Kluyveromyces lactis: one gene and its partner. The protein of the gene in region 1 purifies or fractionates together with the protein of each later gene. This does not show direct contact. Links are inferred from orthologs where the notes say so. Each region holds a gene or a part of one and is shown in the gene's direction. Other genes may lie near its edges.

What was found.
Region 2: the proteins of KLLA0_C18238g (region 1) and PEX32 purify together in Saccharomyces cerevisiae (affinity purification with mass spectrometry; 3 studies listed by BioGRID, with this or other methods). This does not show direct contact. The link is inferred for Kluyveromyces lactis from reciprocal best matches to the Saccharomyces cerevisiae genes PEX30 and PEX32.

Annotation. Positions count from the first base shown.
Region 1 is NC_006039.1:1,610,646-1,614,406, reverse strand, and holds KLLA0_C18238g (PEX28-32 family peroxisomal membrane protein), read left to right. Parts: upstream 1-1,450; coding exon 1,451-3,031; downstream 3,032-3,761. Other genes in the region: cullin CUL3, read left to right, coding at 1-362; U2-type spliceosomal complex subunit CWC24, read right to left, coding at 407-1,096; RPL38 (60S ribosomal protein eL38), read right to left, coding at 3,629-3,761.
Region 2 is NC_006041.1:2,186,765-2,190,057, reverse strand, and holds PEX32 (Pex32p), read left to right. Parts: upstream 1-1,394; coding exon 1,395-2,543; downstream 2,544-3,293. Other genes in the region: KLLA0_E24685g (uncharacterized protein), read left to right, coding at 109-663; ribonuclease P/MRP protein subunit POP7, read right to left, coding at 742-1,152; DPC25 (Dpc25p), read left to right, coding at 2,967-3,293.

The DNA of each region.
Region 1 (3,761 bases):
AATCCATATCCAATACTGATATGTTCTCCATCAATCAAGGCTTCACAGCTCCACAGAGAAAAGTCAAAGTGTTAATGGTATTAATGAACACTAGACCAAACGCTACCAATGATTCTACTAGGTCAAGTGTGGAAAAGAAGTTGCTGGACTCTCGACTAAGTGTCATCAATGCTGCTGTGACAAGGATCATGAAACAAGACAGAAAGCTTTACCATTCCGAACTTCAAGACAAAGTCGCACTGTCAATACCACTATTTGAAATGAGCCCAAGTCTTTTTAAGATGAGTCTCGAATATTTGTTGAATAATGAGTACATACAAAGGGATTTCGATAATACAACTATGTACCACTATTTGCCTTAAATATAGTTATTAACTCTATCCATACATTTAACAATTAAACTATTTCACGTCTTCTTTAACAACTTTCTCAATTTGGTAGCCATCTTAGCAGCACCTTCCGTTTCCTTCCCGCATATAGGACAGTTTGTTGAGACCTTCATCTGCTTCATGAAGCAAGAGCTGCAAAAGTAGTGGTTACATTTTGTTACCACGGGCGATGTATATTCTTTTTTGCAAAGGAAGCACCTGAACGGTATCTCTTCCAACTCTTTGAGAACCTCTTTCTCCTGAGTTTCATCGACTTTCCAGTCCGTGTTGAGTTTCCATCCACCTGCGACATCATCTCTGGAATGTAGGAACTTACAACTATCACCGTACCCACAGTACCCAGTCTTTTGGAAATCTTTACAAATGTCCGGTTGATAATCGGTGATTGTAACCGTTTTCATATTTTTGCTTACTGGCTTGACAAACCCGGAAACTTTGGCTTTTGCCTTCCGTTCGATATCTTCGTCTATCTCCTGTTCTAAAACCGTACGTTCCTTCCTTCGGAGTTCCAACTCCTGTTCTTGCTCTTCTCTTTCTTTTGCTAGATACAAAGCACGTTTATCCTCATTTTCAACCTCAACCTGTGCTTCAGCAACAGCGGTCTTTCCGGTATCTTTCGGCAGCACTGGGTCAGATGCGACGGCCTCATCTGCAAGTCGTTTCCTTTTGCTATCCCTGGAACCTTTCACTACTCGTTTCTTGAACATGAAAACTCAAAAAAAAAACAATATAACCAACACCTTTACCACTATATCAACATATATCAACTGCTTAAGTATACTTAACGGTCCTCTTTGGTCCGTAGTTGTCCTGCGATGACATAGTCTTTTAATAATGTAACCGTATTTCAGGTGATCTTTGTCATATTATCAACATAAAAAATAAAGGATTTGAACAAAGATTGAGTTAAGACTGACCTTTACGAAGAAAGGGACAAAGGACGACAGAAAAAAATAGCAGAAGGACTACCATTCAACTGGTAAAGCAATTGTTTCATATTGGCTGTGATTTTTGTGATTTGATTTTAATTTGCAGAGTTAATCATTGCCAGTGAGAACGACATGAGTGACATTAACGAAACTAGGGCTCAGTTTCTGGATACGGATAAGGATGAGAGTAAGTTAAGCGAGAAGGCTAGCCACACCTTACGTAGTGCATTGAAGAAGCAAGAGAAACAGAAACTTGGTGGAAGAGAAACAAACTTTGAGAACAGCAATGGCGTGGAATCGTCTCCTTTGTTGAACAGCACGCCTCCTACTGTGTCAAAAGCATTAGTAAAGCTTTATCCTTACTTGGTTGTTTGCAATGAGTTTTTGGGGCTCTTAACATGGACTAGCGACGATATTTGGAAGAGCGTATTGATGGTTATATGCTACATCGCAGTAATCTTGTATTTCCAAGTGGTGGTAAGGTACTTTGGCCATTTCTTGTTTGTCGGATTGTTATGGGGATATTCTGCTTTGGATACTTTTGTGGAAACTACCATTAAGGAAAAGCCTACACTAGATGACATTGTGCATATCATTTCTTGTGTGTACACGAAGGCTGATTTATTACTTTCGCCCTTGTCCGTATGGACGGGAAACGATATTAAGCGGATACTTTTGACGATGGCGTTTCTTTCGCCTGTCTATGTAATTGTGTCAATATTCATCTTCTCATCACAGAAATTGGTATTGATCGCTGGTGTTTACGTGCTCACGTACCATTCATCATGGTCTGTAGTCACTAGAAGATTATTGTGGAAATTAAAGGTTGTCCGGTTACTTGTCTTTTACATAACCGGTCTTGATTTGAGTGGTGTTAACAAGCATCAAGGTGGAATCTTCGCTGCAGTGCATAAGAAAGTCAAGAATCTTTCATCGAGCTCGATTGGAACCGATGCAGATGATGGGAAACCCATTAGATTCACTTATGTATTATATGAGAACCAGAGACGTTGGCTCGGTATTGGCTGGACTGCCAACATGTTGACTTACGAGAGAAGTTCATGGACAGATGAGTTTTTAAACGAGGCACCATCTCCAGAACAATTTAAACTTCCAGAAGAGGCTAGCGGTATGGCATGGAGATGGGTGGATAAGACATGGAGACTTGACATGACCAATGATGGAGCCATCCAACTCTCTAGTACGAGGCCAAAGACTACTGCTTCGCCTGGTGCGGATGATGGCTTCATTTACTACGATAACACATGGAAAAAACCATCGACAGAGGATTCATTCTCTAAGTATACCAGACGTCGTAGATGGATTAGAACTGCAGAATTGATCAAGATTGGTGCAGTGCCCTCAATGGTAAATTTGTCGGACTCTCATTCATCGGATGAAAATACTACAGAGAAGAGGAAAAGCGTAAGGATAGAAGAACCAGGTTCTCAATCGAATCAAAGGAAAGTATCGTTTAGTGATACCAGTGACGTAAGAATCATACCTGATGATTCCTACGAAAAGGATACGGAAGGTGATTCTGATGCCAGTTCTGAAGAACAGGGAGATCAGAATAAAACAACAGACGATAACTCTGAAGTGATAGAAGAAAGTCCGAATGAGAATTTCCAACGTTCAACAGACACATCTGGAGATCTTAAATCCAGGGTCACCGAATCAAATCTTGCATCTTCCGACGATACTCCAAGGTAGCATTTCACAGCGAAGTATGCCTGTCCCCTGAGTTTCCAACTCGTATCGAATAGCGTGCTTAAAGCACACCTATATACTCATATATACCAAAAACAAATAAAAAAAATAGATGAGATAATAATCATGCAGTGATAATGACGATATAACAGAGCTTGTACTAATAATACCAGGGAAAATTCATACTGTGTATAACCTCAGTCATTTTTCCTTGTGAAGCCCAAAATAAAACTTTAAAAGCTCGCAAAGACAATTAACACAGGTAAAAAAAACCTACCACTGGACGCTTAATACAAGCTGTATTATCATCATTAGAGTAGTAATCTTATCGTCTCATCAATGAAAGAATGCAGATAAAAAGTATGCGTTTATTATAACTTATTTGACGAGTTTGTTCATTTCAATCTGGATGGTTCGTTCCTCAGGTAAAAATTGCCAGTACAAAGTGCTGGTAATTAAATCAATTCAAATTCAATTTAAATTCAATTCAATAAGAGTACTTACCCCACACCATGGGTTGAAACAGACGATTGGTGGAATTTCCAAAAAAAACAGTTGATATGGTATTAAAGAAAGTATTAGTGTCTCTCTAGACTACCCTTACAACTTGTTAACGTTGAAAGTTGGTGGCAAAGATTGCAACAATTTCTTGGCCTTACCAGCATCGTTAACAATCAAGGTGTACAAGTATCTGGAACCTCTTAGCTTGAACTTGGTTTGTCTGAAAGCCTTA
Region 2 (3,293 bases), on another chromosome or scaffold:
AAAGAATGAGTAATTTCAGTCCACATCGCATCAAATCGCAAGTGTAAAGGAAGCAGTGTGCATGAAACCGTTGAAGTGCATCTGAGGCAAGAGAAGTGATACAGTGTTATGCTTCGAAGAATGTCAGAACTGGTTTCGAGTTTTTCTGGCCTTCACATTGCTTCGGCTGGTTCAAAATCGGTTGTGACTCCAAGTGATAATGCGGACCTTACAAAGGGTGGTAGAAGGAACCAAGCATTGACAAAACCGATCACCATCGATAGTAATACAGGAGAGGTACTGGTTAGGAAAACAACAGGTAAAACGAAAGTAAGAAGAGGTCAGAGCGCGGAAGAATATAAGGAACAACTTAGACAGTATTTCTTGGAGGAGAAAGGTCCAACGAGAACTGAGGAAGATGCCTTGAAGATGGAAGATTTTGATCTGTTGATTGAAGATGAGAGTTTTGACTATGCATTGAAGCAAGTACGACAGAAAATGGTCTCTTATGCTCAGAAATATTATTACGAAAGAGATTACATGAAGTGTTTAAAAGTATCAGAGCCGTTATTGCATAAGTTCGAGCCGTTCAATAAGAAAAACAAGATACGCAGAGAGTTAGAAGAACTCAGATACATGATCGAAAAGTCAAAAGCAAGGTTGGAATTGCAACCGTCCCGCTAGTATTTGATATGTCTACACTGAAATATCTATGTAACTCTATATTAATGTGCGCTTCCCATACTAATATTGATTACGCAATTATACAGGACTTATACGCACTTCAACACCGCTCAAAGTACGCTTTGTCAGTTCCGTTTCCCTGTCCTCTGTTGAAACCTCATTTCCATCTTCATCTTTACCATCATCAGCGAATACCTCATCCAAAACATCTAATGTCTTCGTTAATATGTCAACTTTGTAATCACCCATTGTATTGAAGTGTGCAGCAACTGATAGAGTTTTGAAAACAGCTTTACCCATGCCCAGTAGTGTAATGTATTCACTTTTACGTCTATGCAGGTTGGAAAGAAACCTGTTGGTTCGTTTCACCACGGAAATGTAAGGCGATGAGCTCTTCACGTAGATTGTAGTTTTAATTTTATCATGAGAAAACGTCTTCACTGTCGGAAGTTTTCTTCGTAACTGATTTAAATCCTTAGTATTTCCCATAACGTGGTGTTGTAAGGTTTTTTCGAACGCCCACGAAGCAGATTGCTTCTCTTGTCTTCTTAGAAAAGCCGTTTCTCTTGTTCACTTCTTCAGGCCAATTCAAAATCAGAGACTTTAATTAAAAGGAAATATAGATTACAATACCGATTGTGCAAATAACAAGTAAAGGGCAAGAAAAGAAAACGGCGTCTGGATAAGCTCAAAATCGGTTATTAGTGCATACAATATTGTTCAGATGTACCATGAGCAACAAGAAACTTCATGTCAGATTTGTTTCTAAATCGAAATCAGTTAATCCCCCATATAAACCACAAGACTTAGAGCCCATTACAATTGCATGTCTTTATAGATTATATCCTTGGCTCCTACTGCTGGACCAGTTATTGGATAAACTTATGTGGCATATTGACGATGTTTCCTTACAGTTGATATATATTATATTGCTATGTTACTCAACAGCGTTGGTTGTACCGAAGAATACTTCCTTACTTTTCCAAGCGTTTGATATATGGTTGGGGTACACAAGCGTATTCATTCTTGCTGGCACTATGTTTTATTACAATTATACGCTATGGAAAGAGCTTGAACAGAGCGAAGCACCCACAATAGATGAAATCACTCATACTTTGGACTCTGTTCTTGAGAAGCTTAAAACGGTTCAAAATGAAGTCCTCGGTACAGACAAGGTAAGAAAACTTACTAATATCAATTCACAAACCTTTAAGATAGTGGCTCTTCTGACAGTAATTCATTTAATTACCGTTAGTTTTTTGGATGTACGAACATACTCAGTGCTTGTCATTAGCCTTGTCTCCGTGTTCCATTCAGTGTATTACCAGAGCACGATGAAACTCCTATGGAGGTATTTGTGGATAAGGCGATGTTACTATTATATATGGGACAGCGTACCATCGGAATCCAAACTGGAAACCAACTTTCAACAATACAAGGTGATTTGTGAGAGTCAAGTCATTCCATTCCCTAAATCTCTACAAGGCTTGAAGGGCCAAGAGCTACAGGTTCAACTACAAATGTTAATCCTTCAGGATCCAACTAAGATTGATCCAGAATCCGATTACGTACACGTCAAGATCATCGAATACAACGTTGATGAAAACGAGAGAAAATGGAAGCAAGAGGGCTGGACCCCAAAATTGCTACCTTACGAAAGAGCTCACTTCTCTAATTCATTCACCCAAACTCCATCTGTAACACCATGGAAGTTCCACGAAGAACTACCTTCCGATTGGATCTGGATTGAATCTACTTGGGTACCCGGCAGCTGGCAATACTGTGATGCAAAATGGAATTTATTAGGTGCGAACGATTCGATTGCATGCTTCACTCGTAGAAGAACTTGGAAACGAAGAGCGTTCAAGATACTAACCTGAAGTTGGTCAAGTGGAAACTCCGTTTTTGGCAGTCGAAGTACAGCTCGAGAGTGTAACCACATATATATATATATATATATGTATATCTACGTAGTTTTGTAAAATGTTGCTGGATACATGTAATCACAATTTATTTATACATGTATACTCACATCACTGTACTGTCAAATAGGGTGCTAAGGATCTACGACTGCTATCTCATCTTGTTTTCTGAACCTTCCTTTCATGCTTTTTAATCATCATCACCGATTATGGCAACCGATACTCTAAAAAAAAAAAAAAAATCCCAATGAAGAGAAGCATTTAAAGTTTAGACAAGATAATAATCACGGAGAATAATACACAAATCAACATTGACAATCGTCAATAAGTGCGTATCAAAACGCTGTCGATAGTATCCTGCATAAGATCTATATTGCTGTGATGATACGTATAGCACCACCTTTGAGAAATGTCAGATATATATTTACTGCCAAGCCAGTGCAAATGACTTTTGAGGGCAACACCGAGGGGGTATACGGAAGTGAGGAGGAAAGGATGAGATCTGTATTCGGGGGTAGACTTAAGGGCGAGCCTCCACGTTCTACTAGTAGGTTTTTGACCTCGGAGAATATGAGAGAGATAGCTGGAGTCAAGGTACCGTCCAAACCCATAGAACCAGACAACTGTTGCATGTCCGGTTGTGTCAATTGCGTTTGGGAATTATACAATGATGATTTGAAAGATTGGAAGTCAAAAAAAAGAGAGGCA